Schizosaccharomyces pombe: one gene and its partners. The protein of the gene in region 2 purifies or fractionates together with the protein of the main gene of each other region. This does not show direct contact. Each region holds a gene or a part of one and is shown on either strand. Other genes may lie near its edges.

What was found. The genes of interacting proteins can lie anywhere in the genome.
Region 1: the proteins of tbp1 (region 2) and taf7 purify together in Schizosaccharomyces pombe (affinity purification with western blotting, with the first as the bait; one study listed by BioGRID). This does not show direct contact.
Region 3: the proteins of tbp1 (region 2) and taf1 purify together in Schizosaccharomyces pombe (affinity purification with western blotting, with the first as the bait; one study listed by BioGRID). This does not show direct contact.

The regions. Positions count from the first base shown.
Region 1 is NC_003424.3:2,171,910-2,175,837, reverse strand, and holds taf7 (transcription factor TFIID complex subunit Taf7), read left to right. Parts: upstream 1-2,050; 5' UTR 2,051-2,085; coding exon 2,086-2,413; exon of another isoform or gene 2,414-2,454; coding exon 2,455-3,308; 3' UTR 3,309-3,428; downstream 3,429-3,928. Other genes in the region: glycerol dehydrogenase Gld1, read left to right, coding at 1-830; mismatch repair ATPase msh1, read left to right, coding at 3,743-3,928. UniProt on the Schizosaccharomyces pombe protein: TAFs are components of the transcription factor IID (TFIID) complex that are essential for mediating regulation of RNA polymerase transcription. Also involved in the transport of mRNA from the nucleus to the cytoplasm.
Region 2 is NC_003424.3:4,413,182-4,418,242, forward strand, and holds tbp1 (TATA-binding protein (TBP)), read left to right. Parts: upstream 1-2,297; 5' UTR 2,298-2,365; coding exon 2,366-2,568; exon of another isoform or gene 2,569-2,823; coding exon 2,824-2,884; exon of another isoform or gene 2,885-2,936; coding exon 2,937-3,197; exon of another isoform or gene 3,198-3,267; coding exon 3,268-3,438; 3' UTR 3,439-3,970; downstream 3,971-5,061. Other genes in the region: SPOM_SPAC29E6.06C (cysteine--tRNA(Cys) ligase Crs1), read right to left, coding at 1-738; SPOM_SPAC29E6.07 (uncharacterized protein), read left to right, coding at 1,643-1,993; SPOM_SPAC29E6.09 (uncharacterized protein), read left to right, coding at 4,289-5,061. UniProt on the Schizosaccharomyces pombe protein: General transcription factor that functions at the core of the DNA-binding multiprotein factor TFIID.
Region 3 is NC_003424.3:836,100-842,062, forward strand, and holds taf1 (transcription factor TFIID complex, histone acetyltransferase subunit Taf111), read left to right. Parts: upstream 1-2,138; 5' UTR 2,139-2,220; coding exon 2,221-2,283; exon of another isoform or gene 2,284-2,325; coding exon 2,326-2,896; exon of another isoform or gene 2,897-2,911; intron 2,912-2,944; coding exon 2,945-3,093; intron 3,094-3,131; coding exon 3,132-5,288; 3' UTR 5,289-5,463; downstream 5,464-5,963. Other genes in the region: vacuolar amino acid transmembrane transporter Atg22, read left to right, coding at 284-1,873; RNA methyltransferase Tgs1, read right to left, coding at 5,473-5,760, 5,809-5,954.

The DNA of each region.
Region 1 (3,928 bases), 2.2 Mb from region 2:
GTCCTACTACTGCCTCCTCTGATGCCGCTACTTCCTCTCTTTCCGTCATTTACACTCCTGACGGTCAATTCCAAAAATACAGCTTTTACCCCCTTAATCCCAACCTCATTTTCATCGATACCGATGTGATTGTTCGCGCTCCCGTCCGCTTCCTTATTAGTGGCATTGGTGATGCTTTGTCCACCTGGGTGGAAACTGAATCCGTTATTCGCTCAAATTCCACTTCCTTTGCCGGAGGTGTGGCCTCCATTGCTGGCCGTTACATTGCCCGTGCTTGCAAAGACACTCTTGAAAAGTATGCCCTGAGCGCTATTCTTTCCAACACTCGCGGTGTTTGTACCGAGGCATTTGAGAACGTGGTCGAGGCCAACACATTGATGTCTGGTCTAGGCTTTGAAAACGGTGGTCTTGCTGCTGCTCATGCCATCCATAACGGTATGACCGCCATCCACGGTCCCGTTCATCGTTTAATGCATGGTGAAAAGGTTGCTTACGGTACCTTAGTTCAAGTTGTTTTGGAGGATTGGCCGTTGGAAGACTTCAATAATCTTGCTTCTTTTATGGCAAAATGTCATCTTCCCATTACCCTTGAGGAACTTGGTATTCCCAACGTAACCGATGAAGAGTTATTGATGGTAGGTAGAGCTACTTTGCGACCTGATGAGAGTATTCACAACATGTCAAAGAAGTTCAATCCATCTCAAATTGCTGACGCTATTAAAGCCGTTGACTCCTATTCACAAAAATGGCAAGAACAAACTGGATGGACCGAGCGTTTTAGATTACCCCCTTCTCGTCATAGTCCTCACTTGACCGACATTCATCCATAGGCATTATTTTTATCCCCAGCTTCAATTTTCCCTAGTAAATCCAAAAGAAGAAAAGAAATTTTTAAGCGGGTTTTCTTCATTGATCATTAATGTCCTGAGTGTTTTTTTTTCTATAGTAGTCTTTTATTTCGTGTGCTTCCTTTCCTCTTGGAACTTTTTTTACCTTTTTTCTTTCTTCCTTTTTTTTATTTTTTTAAAAAAGTTGTAAGCTTTTCCCGTTAATCTAGTGATTTAATGATCAACCTTTTCGGCCTACTCCAAAGTTTTTTACGCCCCTTATAACTTCATGAATAATTTGCTTTATTTTTGTTACGAATGAAAAAAATTGTTCCCCTTTTCAAATGAATGTTTTATCGTTGTTAGTTGTATTGTATTAAAGTTGTTCACCGTAATTGATCTATTTGTTACAATGCACATCATCTGTGTTGCTTCCTTTTTTTTTTTTTTTTTTTGCAATCGCTTTTTATTGTGATAGATTTCAAAAGTTTTAAATGTAATTACAATTAATAATGTTCCTATGTTAGAAAACTTTAAATAACTAAAGTGATTTGTTTTCACGTATTATACAATTGTCGCTAGTGGCCTTGTCAAACATTCGTTGTTATTATATTATATGCTAACTCAATATGATTAGTATGCTACAAATGGTATAATAAGTGAGTAAATCCCGGATTCCTAGCTACATTGAAAACCCTTTTTACCTTAACCTTTGCATCGATCAACAATTTCGCGCTTTATTTACATTGTTTACTGTGGGATAAATAAGTAGTGTTGTCAACAATACATTACTCAAGGATACACTACGTTGAGTATCACTATATGACACATGTCCTAATCATTCATCGTTGTATGAAACAGTATTGAGATTGACCTTAATAATAATCTATTAATATTTTTATTATCTGAATACTATAAATAGGGCTACTGCCGAACCTTGTTCCTCAGTTCAGTAGTTTAGCTATGTCGGTGATCGATACTAATGGACTTCTTATAGTAACAAATATACATTGTTAGTTAAACATACCACATACCGCTATACTGTAGGTCGCAAGAGAAACTCACCGCAGTTCTATGAATCGTTAAATAGATACCAAACTGCGTAGCTGACAGGTGTTTGCAGATAACGATTGTATTAAAAAAATGTTGTAAATCACTATGGCTCGTTAGTAGTAGATAACGAGACTCACTTGAAGGTTTAGCGACTTGCTAATCGAGCGTTTGCCAACGACAATTACTCAAAAGGCGGTTTTCGAAAATGGTTAAGCTAAAAATTCGTGCTGTTCAGCCTCCTCCAAATGATTCACGATCTAGCACTCCAGCCACTGGTCCTCCTCCCCCAATTCCTAAAATTAAGATCAAGACACGTGAACCTAAAGGCCCTCGATTGACAAAAATTCGGTTAAAAAGAGTTCGCGAACCTGGCTTAGGATATGATTCAGAAGCTTCTGACAGAGAAGAAGACACTTATATTGAAGAACAAATTATATTACGTCTTCCTCCTGGTGAAGATTGTGAGTATGTTCGAAAAGCAATTGAAAATAGGGAAGTGGGACGAGGTGCAGACATATGGGTGAAGTTCAAAGGTAATGACTTGGTTACACTATATTATTATTAACAGAGTTAGATCAAAGAAGAGCGGTTGTTCATGTTAATGGTCATTTGTACGCTGCGAAGTTAGTTGATTTGCCATGCATCATAGAATCTAATAAATCATTCGACAAAAAAGTTATCTTCAAGGCTGCTGACATCTGTCAAATGTTGATAGCTACAGAAAGAATCGAGCACGAAAATTCTGTTCTCAATACTCAGTTAAAGCAAGCTGATTACATTTATCCACATGGATTGACGACGCCAATGCATTGGGTGCGGCAGAAGCGATTTCGAAAACGTGTTTCGAACAGAACAATCGAAGCAGTTGAAAATGAGGTTGACCGATTGCTTGCAATGGATGAACGCGCTGAAAGTACATCGAATGAGTTGATTGATCAAGCACAATTGGCTCGTGACTCAAGCATCGCTCTTTCAGAGGATACATCGTTTGATGGAATGGCAGGACTTCGTGGTACCAGCATCGATCGGGACGACCAAAGCGTGCAAACTGATATGTTTGATGGTATGGATGAGGACGATTTGGCTGGACAGATTGAACAGGGTATGCTTGAGCTTAGTCAAGATACTCGGGAGTCAACAGCAGAACCTCGTGCCGCAGGTGAAGAATCTGCTAGTGAAGAAGAAGAAGAGGAGGAAGAAGAAGAAGAAGAGGAAAATGAAGCTGACGATGAGACTCGCGAAAATAAACGACAAAATAGACTTGTTCGTGAGTTTATTTCAGAGTTGGAGTCTTCTATTCAAAAACGTAGAAAGGATGCCGATGAAGCAACTAATCCCATTCTACGAAATCGTTTCCTTGCAGACGTTAATCGTATGGTGACCGAGTTAGAGTTAAAACGTACTCAACTTGTCGATAACCCTGAATAAATGTGTTGCGTAGTTACATCTTTTTACATTTTTTTTTAAAGAAAAAAGCATTTATTTCTATACGTTTTACCTTTTGCATATCAGCTACAATAATAATGAACATCGGTTATGGTTTGGATATATATACATATATTTATATTTTATATAGTAGATTGTAAATTGCATATTAAGTATTTTAGACACTGATAGCCAGAATTAGTTTTGTTAATGAAGTGTACCGAACTTTATTACAACAATCATTTTTCTGCATAAGCAATTCTATTTAAACGTATACATATATTTATTAATATACATTTATATGCTCATAAATAAATTTATATACTTGAAGATTACTATTTCTTCAACTTGACAATGATGCATTCATTGTCGCTTATAGTAACATAAACTTTTGCTAACTCTACAAAAAAACCCTTCCATTCGGTAACCTGAAAATTATGCCGACATGGAGGTATATTTTTTCATTAAGAAGTAAATCTTCTTTCACTAAAACCTGGGTACCGTTTACTCAAATTCGAAATTCTAGTAAATCCCCCAAAGTCGGCCAAAAGCCAATTTTACAAGGCGCGTTAGGACCTCCGTTAGATTTTATTAGACCGAAGGAAAAAGTAACTCTACCTCCT
Region 2 (5,061 bases):
TCGCGTAACAGCAGTAGGTGGCAAGACATTCAGATTAGCCATGTCCTTGTTGAAGTCATCTTCCCAATAAGCTGCAAGTTTACGAAAGATTGCAGGATCAGTCACGGTGCTACCCAATTCTGCATCAAGCAATGGGACCAAAACATCTTGTACCTTGGGCCAAAACCCATCCAAAGAAATGATTTCAGAAGCTTCACTCACCTGAAGAGCGTCCAAAGCAGACTTTAAAGCATCCACATGCATGGGTAACTTGGGATTGTTGATAGCTAAAGTGGGAATATCATGGGATGCGAGCCATTGAGGCCATTCACTCATCGAGGAGGGAGGTTCAGGAAGATTTTTCTTGGCATATGCAAACCAAGCCTCAGTAACCTTTTCACGAGCTTCTGAATGGGATTTGTTAGTACCTTGCTGCTTTTTATATTCTTCAAATAAATATTGTTGACGAGCTCTAAGGATAATTTTGTCATCTATATCAGTAACGTTTTGTACAAATGTAATGTTATATCCAAAATAAGATTGTAAGATTCTTCGAAGGATATCAGTTGTCACATAATTACGAGCATGCCCCATATGACTAGCATCATATACCGTAGGTCCACAGCAGTACCATGTTAAGTTGGAACCATTTGAAACAAAAGGCACCTTGCTATGAGTTAAGGTGTTGTATACATAGAGCTCCGTTCTTTGTCCTTTAGGAACACCCCAATGCGATTGAGCGGGATTTCTAGTCGACATTAGATTTTTATTAAAAAAGCGACTAGAACTATTGAAACAACGAGCCACGAGTTTAAAAATCGTGATTTTGATTATTTTGTCGTTGAGTTGGGTAAAAATTTGGCAGGATAACCTGAATTAAGATAACGGAGTATTTGATGCGCAATTTTACAGGTTATTGTTAGTACTTGAACTAAGCAAGCAAAAACATTTTGCAAACAAAAAATAAAAACAAAATTTCAATACCTAATTATATTTTTCCTCATATTAAACTAGTAAAGTAGCCAATAGATTTATTTCATCTTTTTTTTTTTTTTTTTTTGACGATATTATTGCAAATAAGTTGTTGGTTTCCATCTCAGCATACCAATTGATATGCTTTGAAAATGTCTTATCCGTATTAATCTTAGTTTTGTTGAATCGAAAATATTTAAACAACTCTGGTGTCCTCATATGTTTCTGCCTTCATTACAGATCTTCTATAGTTTTTGCATTAAAGCCATTTAATTGAATGACATTGTCAAGTTATTGATATTAGATAAAAATTTGAATTTTACATTTCAAAAAGTAAATATCATGTTATCTTATTTCTTTCTGTAAAGGATACTTTAAATTACTAACAAAGAAACTTTGAAATCATATTTTAGAACAATTTATTAATATGCATCAGGAGGTTATTATAACAAAGAATGACATTTATCTCAAAAGACTAACAATGGTTTATCGTCTCTTGGATACCGTTTAAAACAAATACTTCTTTTATAGTTTAAGAAAACCCTTATAAAGACTTGAGGGATTAATGATTTGTTTTTGTTTTCTTTAATTAAAAAAAAAAAAAAAAAAAAAAAAAAAAACTCAGATCGATTTATATTTTCTTTCTGCAATTTCACATTTTATTAATTGAATGATAAAATAACAAGTAGCGATGGAATACTATATTCGTGAAACGCTAATTACAGATTTTCAGGATGTTAAGACTTTAAAAAATAAAAGAAAATGCTTCAGTTTCTTTTTTGAACTTAGATTATTTTCCCCTCAATGTTTGTTTATAGTATATTTTTTTTATTTACTACACGTGAGAATAAACACCTCTCCTTTGTTTATAAAAACTACGACACGACCAACAGCGTTAATCCATATAACAAAATACAGTGAAGCGTTAGCGTCGAGACTGCTGAAAGGGCATATGACGCAGCTCTCACTCCGTACCATCCTTCCACCTGCGCACACAAAAAATTTACATCGCCAGCAACCAACTACTTGGTTAGATAGCTAGTGCCTTTGTTCAAATTTTATACCAAAGCTTGATTCAGCTTTTCTAGACTAAATGCGGTACTTTATTTTGCACTTCCTATACTCATTTTCGTCTATATCTCGTTCGTATTGCGTTTGAAGGACTTTTTTTTGTAAACGAGAAATTTATACATAGAAGCTAATAAGAAAGTTGTAAAAACGTATTTTATAAATAAAAAATCGCGCATTTCTTTACTATTCAGCCATCGCCGCGGTTTCACAACACTCAGAAACCCTAACCCTGAAAGATCGGGTATATATAAATAAGTGCAGCAGCCGTCACCTGCAGGCTTTCCATTAGGGGTGGGATAACGCAATTCTACGAGTAGCGTAAAATAATAATTGATTTACTGCAATGGATTTCGCTTTACCCACCACGGCCTCGCAAGCGAGTGCCTTTATGAATAACTCTTCTTTAACGTTCCCTGTTCTCCCCAATGCCAATAACGAGGCTACAAATGAGACGGCAGATTCCGGGGATGCAGAAGTTTCAAAAAATGAAGGTGTATCTGGCATTGTTCCAACCCTTCAAAATATTGTTGCTACTGTAAACTTAGAGTAAGTCGTGCCTCTTTGGATAGGGAACAAGGCGTATTGCCGTCGCGGTGAGTTCATCGGAAATCTTTTGTATAGACATGGCGTTTGGGTAAGAGCGATTGTTAATGGTTATTTGATTTTTGTTTTGTTTATATTTAACTACCATGTCACGAGATTTCCGAAGGCAATGACCGCAGGGGATGATACGTCTCGTTAACAAAATTTTCCATTGAGTTAGCAAATTAGACCTTATTACTAATAATCCTCTTAAAATAGCTGTCGTCTTGATCTCAAAACTATTGCGCTACATGCACGTAATGCAGAATACAACCCAAAAGTACGTTAAACCCTTTTAATTTTGTTTGAGGTCTGTTATTGACCAAACATAGCGTTTTGCCGCTGTTATTATGCGTATCCGTGAACCCAAGTCTACTGCATTGATTTTCGCGTCTGGTAAAATGGTTGTTTTGGGTGGCAAATCCGAGGATGACTCCAAGCTCGCGTCTAGAAAGTATGCGCGTATCATCCAAAAACTCGGTTTTAATGCCAAGTTCACGGATTTTAAGATTCAGAACATTGTAGGAAGTTGCGATGTTAAATTTCCAATTCGTTTGGAAGGTTTGGCTTACTCCCACGGTACTTTCTCATCTGTAAGTTCATCATCTTTAAAGATGTTGTTGCTGTTAAAAGACGAATAAGTATCTAACTGTTCTTTTTTAGTATGAGCCTGAGTTGTTTCCCGGTTTGATTTATCGCATGGTAAAACCAAAAGTTGTTCTATTGATTTTTGTTTCTGGTAAAATTGTTTTAACTGGTGCGAAAGTCCGTGAGGAAATTTACCAAGCTTTTGAAGCCATTTATCCAGTATTGTCTGAATTTCGAAAACATTAAGGCATGTCAACAGTTATCACACAGTTTTGTGTCAATGTTCATGGGTATTGTTGGGTAAAAGACCTTAGTCGGGGTCAGGTTATTTTTTGATCTTTAACATTAAACCCTTAAAAAGCTTTCCGGAGAATCCCCTTCACTGTAAGTCATCATTTATGAGTATTTTTATATGATGCAGATGATAGAGACATCCTTTGAAAAGTTTTTTCTTCAAAATCAGAAACTGATCTGTGAGTTTCTTCTTTTACGGCGCAACACAGCTTTATTCAAGAAAACTATAGAGGCTGAAATTGCGTATCTTATTTGAAAACCTGCAGTTGATGAATGTGTGCTCTTAAAAGTGCGTGCAAGTGTCTTCGCGATACTACTTGTTTTCCTCTGTGTTTATCATTAAACATTAGTTGAGCATTGCTTCATTAAATCTTCTAGCTTCAGGACTGGTGGCCAAATCGGTACAATGTTCTGTATAGCTTTGTATAATTCATTTTTTCATGATCGTGTAATAATAATAATAATCTTTTAAAAATTGAAATAATTTGGTTTTAGTCTGAAGAGCGTATATCGACAGTTCTTAAAAAGTATTGATTCCATTCGAAAATTAGACGATTATGATACTATGGAGTTTAAAGGAACTGAGTATCTGCTGTTCCTGTAAAATACTTTAAGTTCTTAATAGCGCTAATAGAAGGAAATGCGTAAACATGAACACTAATACGGTAATCGAATAACGACGAGCCTGTGGCACCTAAAAAAAGAGTAATAAAATGAGTTTGTATAGCAAGCAGAAGCAGCCAACATCTAACTAAGTCGCGATTTGCAATATAATCGCTTTTTACATATAAAAAAAAACCAAATGTTGTCTGAACTTCCTGAAGTGATATTTAAAGGGACTGAGTTTGAAGAGCAATTGTCGAATTTAACATCGGACAGCCAGGCGAATAAAAGAGTTTATGAAGATTATGATTTTAAGGATGAAACATCAGCAAAACCAATTCCCACAGAAAAAAAATTAAAAGTATTTAAAAAGGATGATAATGTGGAGACATTACTATCTGCTTTAGAAATTCAAAATGAGAAATCGAAGCAACAAGTCGAGTATTCCTTTATCCCACTGAAGCAGGACGATGGTGATATCTTAACATCACCTGGAGATTTCGAAAATGCATCAACATCCCCGGTTTCAGATGTCACTTATGTAAACACTAAATTAGTAGATTTTATATCTTCTGTCCTTCTAGAGGAGAATCAGGGTCTTGCTTTGCATCAGTTAACGCTAAAGTTGATAAATATTGGCGAATCTTTTCACTCACTTCTTCCAATTAATCTACCTTATGAACCTTACGTTATTGCTAATTATGTGGAGCGCCAATTAAGGAGTTATATATCTGATACTTCCTCGAGCAAGCAAAGTTTATTATCTTTAAAAAATTCTTCGAATGGTACCGTTTATGTTTCTACAACTTTACCATGTCCCGTAGAGTTAAAGCCAAATATCACTGCTATAGACACTGCTGAGCGGAATTCTTACCTGTGGGGTATTTTACAGCCTCCCGAACCTTCAGCTGAAGGTCCTTTTACTTGGAATGGCGCTTCATCACATGAAGGAGACATCAATAACAATGATAC
Region 3 (5,963 bases), 3.6 Mb from region 2:
AGCTATTATTAAATGATACAATAATTATTTAGTTGATCGCTTAAAAATTTTTTAGAAGCAGCCATGATTGTATCTATTTTGTTTGTTTTGTCCATGCATTGTTTGGTCTCCCCCCGAGCAGTTATGTCCCTATTGCGTAGCTAATAAATCCGCTACACCAACCACAATTTTAAGATAACTACAACAGTTTACTTTTCTTTTCTCATTCCCTTTCAAAATTTATGTTTTCATATTATCTTCAGTAATTTGTATTTCCATAGTTTTTGACGATTGAGCTATCAATATGAATTCTCCAATACAACTTCACAAGAAGTTTTCCACTACAGTTTGGCATGTTCTGAGCTGGATTCTTTATGCAGTTGGGGCAGGTCCTACTGCAATTATAAGTATGGGGGTGTATGTTCCTTTAATTGTTATGAAAAATGCCCATGATCATGGTTTTTTAAGAACAGATCACACAATTCCTTGTTCTTTATATCCAGAAGAACCTTGCTCTTTGAATATAGTTGGTCCGCTATGGATTGATGTTAGTTCTATTGTATTCGCTGCATCAGCTATTTCAACTTTTTTACAGATGGCTATGATGGTTAGCTTGGGTGTTATTTGCGATTATGGAAATAACAGAAGATACATCTTGTTTTCATGCGTTATCATAGGTTCTATTAGTGGTATTATACTTTCGTGGAGTCCCTCGAGTTTTCTTTTGGGAAAAATAGTGTTTTTGATTCTGGTCGACTTGAACTTTATTATATCTCAATCCTGCTATGACAGCTTTCTCCCTATTTTTTTGAGATTCTACCCTATCACGAGAGGACCTATAACATTGGAATCCGCTCTTCAGGATGAAACAGATGACCTAGATAGCTACATAACAAATACCACCATTGATTCTAGTGAAGAAGAGCCCTATTTGCTTGAACACAGCCTAATACTTAATGAATCCGCTCCTCCTGCAGATGTGGAAGATGAACACAAGGCTAAAATCGCTGCTCGATTATCAAGCGTTGGCTTCGGTAGCTTCTTCGGCGCTGCTATTCTCTTTCAGATTATTTTTACTCCCATTTTGTACAAAACTAATAACAATCCAATAATCTTGCCAATAACTGTTACAGTGTGTTCATGTTGGTGGCTTATACTTTCAACCCCCCTTTGTACCATTGTTACACTACCTGTGGAAAATCACTCAAGTGATGCTATCCTGACACTACTTTATAATAGTGTGAAAGAGTCGTATCATTCATTCAAGCATGCAATGAGTATTTCTTCGATTAGGCTATTCCTATTTTCACGACTCTTCATTAATTGTGGAATTCAAACTTCTCTTTCTTCTGCCGTTATTTTTGGAAAAGCAAGGTTGAATCTCTCTAACTTTCAGCTGACTTTGCTAGGAATGGGAATATCTTCTTTCGCATTGTTAGGCACCGTAATTATACCCTATCTTACTGAGTATTTTCAACTGAACTCGTTACAAGTAGTAATGATTATTTCCATCCTCTTGCCGATGGCTCCTTTATATGGCCTTTTGGGTTACATTCCTGGATTTGAAAATGCTGGAATACGAACATCAGCTGACGTTTTCCGGGCTACTTTATTCTTTGGCTTTTTCTTAGGAGGTGCGCATAGTTATTGTAGGTCCGTATACGCTCAACTAGTGCCATCTGGAAAAGAAACTAGATTCTTTGCCCTCTACGCTTTGATATCACAAACCGGTGTGTTATTTAGCCATATTTCTTTAACACTTATTTCGAACTACACATCTGATTTACGTGCCGTCTACATTTTTGTAATTGTTGTTATGACTTTACCTTTGTCTTCTTTATGGATAATGTATCAACACAGCAAAACCCCCAACTTGCATAGGTCCTCCTCTTAACTCACCCACTAGCATTTATTTATTGATTTAATTAAACAAGTCTGCGGTTCTTTATTTTTTCGAGACATTAAACTATTGATTAATGTACAGTGAGCGCCAAGCCTAATTATTTTCATGAGTCTTTCCAATTAATAAACGAAATTATCGAGGATTTAATAGTTAATAGATATATATTATTATATGAATTTAATTCTGTCACCCAAGATTCATCAGTAAGCTAATGTTACCTGAGTCTATATTCATCGGCAGACGAAAAGTATCCCTTAGCCAACACCCATTTCGCCACAAGTCGATTAATATCATATATAACGGCTTAGTGAGGCCATACATAAATTTTGAAATATATTATGTCTTTTGATGGTCTTATAGTTGAAAATGAAAATACGAAATCTGGATACAATGATGGAAATGTAGGTATTTTGAAATCTATAATCTTAAACTAACGAATGTAGGACCTGACAGATTTATTTAAGCAAAATGGTACAGACATGTCTGTAATAAATTCTCTTTTAGGAGATACAAACAATCCAGGGATGAATGAGTCCCCAAAAATTTTAGATTCTAGTTTTGAAAATTCCAACCCTCAGGATGGACCAAATTATGAAGATTTTGACTTTATGGGTTCAATTCATAAGGAATTTGGTAATAACATAAATGAAATGGATGATATGGAAGATGTAAGTGATGATAATCTACCAGAGGAAGAACAAGCTGTAAATTACACCGGGGATAAGGATGATGAAGATTTTGGAAAGCTTTTAGCTAAAGAAATGGGTGAAGAGGCTGCTGGTCAGGTCCTCAGCGGAGTAGGCTTTTCAATTCCATCGGGATTAGTTCCACCTTCCGAACCTTCGAAAACTGTTTCTTCTACTACAGAAGAATTACAAAACGAAGCTCAAATTAGGGAGAGCATTGTCAAAACTTTTTTTCCGACCTTTGAACGTGGTGTTTTGTTGAACTTTTCAGAACTTTTTAAGCCGAAACCTGTTAAGCTTGCTCCTCCAAAGAAAAAGACCCCAAAAGGTATGAATTGATTATTGTTGTATTTTTTTACTGATCTGACATGTTAAGTTTGCGTACCTGGTCGTTTAACGTTAGAAGTCGATACAGATTACGCAATAATATTCAATAGCAAGAAGTCTTTACCATTAAAGCGAAATGTTGTGTCTCCAATATCTACGCATACAAAAAAGCGAAGAAGAACAGCTAATACATCACAGGTATGGTTTGATTTAGAATAGCTTTCACTAACCGAAAGAGGAATGACGGCTTGGATCTCAACACCGTTTTTACTACTAATGATTGGGAAAAAAATATTATTTACGATGAGAGTGATGTTAACAAAACTAATCAATCATCATTTTTTATTGACAAATCACTAGTTGATATTGATTTTGCATTTGATGAAAACATTTTTGACGGAGACACTGGTACCTCGAAAGTAGTATTAAATTTAAATGACCCCAAACTTTTGTTACAACCTCAATTGCCGAAGAAAGAGGATTCCCAAAGATCTTTTGCAGACACCCATCAAAGGAATTCCCTGGCTTGGAAGTTTAATATATCCAACGATCCTGCCTATGAGATGTTAAAACAAAATCATCAGTCAAAAGTTCGTAATACCTTGTCCCAGTTAGCAATTGAGCATGCTGCCTTTGCCGAAAAGCTCACATTTCCTTACTATAAAACAAGACTTAGTAAGCGTGCTGTTCGAAGTTACCATCGACCAACCATGTCGTTCAAACCTAATGCAGCTATTGTCTTTTCACCTTTAATAGTAAGGAAAAGAAGTAAAGATAAACATAAGTCTGAACGAGAATTAATTCCTACTACTAAGGAGATAACAATGGGTGATACCACACATGCAATACTCGTTGAGTTCTCAGAAGAACATCCTGCAGTGCTGTCCAATGCAGGTATGGCCAGCAGGATCGTTAATTATTATCGAAAGAAAAATGAACAGGATGAATCACGTCCCAAGCTCGAAGTTGGTGAAAGCCACGTTTTAGATGTTCAGGATCGGAGCCCTTTTTGGAATTTTGGATCTGTTGAACCTGGAGAAATTACTCCCACTTTGTATAATAAAATGATTAGAGCTCCGTTATTTAAGCATGAGGTACCACCTACTGACTTCATTCTAATACGGAATTCTAGTAGCTATGGCTCAAAATATTACTTAAAAAACATTAATCATATGTTCGTGAGTGGTCAAACTTTTCCTGTTACTGACGTGCCTGGGCCCCATTCCCGTAAAGTGACCACAGCAAGTAAAAATCGATTAAAAATGCTTGTTTTCCGGCTTATTAGGCGTTCACCAAATGGAGGATTGTTCATTCGACAATTATCAAAGCACTTCTCCGATCAGAATGAGATGCAAATTAGACAGCGTCTTAAAGAATTTATGGAATACAAAAAGAAAGGTGATGGTCCAGGTTACTGGAAATTAAAATCGAATGAAGTTGTCCCCGATGAAGCAGGTACACGGTCAATGGTTTCACCTGAAACAGTGTGCTTACTAGAGAGTATGCAAGTGGGTGTGCGGCAGCTTGAAGATGCTGGGTATGGGAAAACAATGGATGAGATCAATGATGATGAAGATGAAGAACAACCAGCAGAGCAACTGTTAGCGCCTTGGATTACTACGAGAAACTTTATAAATGCTACCCAAGGGAAGGCCATGCTTACACTGTTTGGTGAGGGTGACCCTACAGGAATTGGCGAAGGTTATAGTTTTATTCGTACGAGCATGAAGGGTGGTTTCAAACCCGCTGGCGAAACCGCCGACGATAAGCCAGAACCGCAAACTAAGAATGCTCACGCCTATAATGTTGCAAAGCAACAAAGGGCTTATGAAGAAGAAATAAATAGGATTTGGAATGCTCAGAAAAGAGGTTTAAGTATAAATAATCTGGAAGAATTGGCTAAAAAATATGGCATCAATTCTATACATGATGATTACGTTGAATCTAATGAGGAGACTACGAGAGAAGAAACTCCATCTTCTGATAAAGTTTTACGAATTGTTCGACTTTATCGTGACAAAAATGGAAATTTGGAACGTAAACAGGAAACCATTCATGACCCGATAGTCATCCATGCCTATCTGAAGAAGAGGCGTGAGATTGACGAACAATCAACTGCTCTTGATGCCGTCGTACCAACTGGAGACGAAGCAATTGATAGACGCAACCGAAGGCGTCTTGAACAAGAACTTGCCAAGAGTCAGAAGAATTGGGAGCGACGAAGAGCTCGACATGCTGCCAAAGAAGGAATCAACTTGAACGGAGAAGGACGAAAACCCACTACTCGCAAATGTAGTAACTGTGGTCAAGTGGGCCACATGAAGACCAACAAAATATGTCCCTTATTTGGTAGACCTGAAGGAGGTTTGGCTACTATGCTCGACAAAAACTAAAATAATACTGAGTGTTATAAAGAATATTTGACATCTCATGATGGGCGTCGATCGCTCCTTTTTTGTTTATTGGTGATGAATCTAATTATAACGATATTCATTGTAGAAAATGTTAATAATCAATTTATGTTTATGAAATCAAATATATAGTTGACGAACTTCACGTGAAAATGAGTTGAAACTTTCAAATTTTTCGCGCAATAGCACCCTTCATATTAAAATAGCAGCAAATTGCCTTGGCATATCCTTCAAATAAAAAATTGGTAATATAAGGCTTGTTATGAATACTCCCATATGCTGCAAGTTCCTTTACATCAGTGTTTCTTGGCAAAAATGCAGCAACATAAGGGGATATCCTAGTTGCTTCTTTAAATAGAACATCAAAAGCATATGGGTTTAGGTCATTTAATGAATATACTGTTTTTCCTGAGTAACTAGGTCCACCCCAAGGAGGACTCATAAAAACAAGAGACTAGAAAATATTGTTAAACACAGAATTAATATATAAGATTATCTATACCCTGTAATCTTTAGCAAACTGCAAAGATTTAAAAGTGTCAAGAACGTCTCCTTGAATGAAAGTGACTCGAGATGAAGGAATGCCATAAATTTCCAAATTATGCTTTGCCATAGCGATTTTGATAGGATCGATCTCAATTGAGATTACTGAAACAA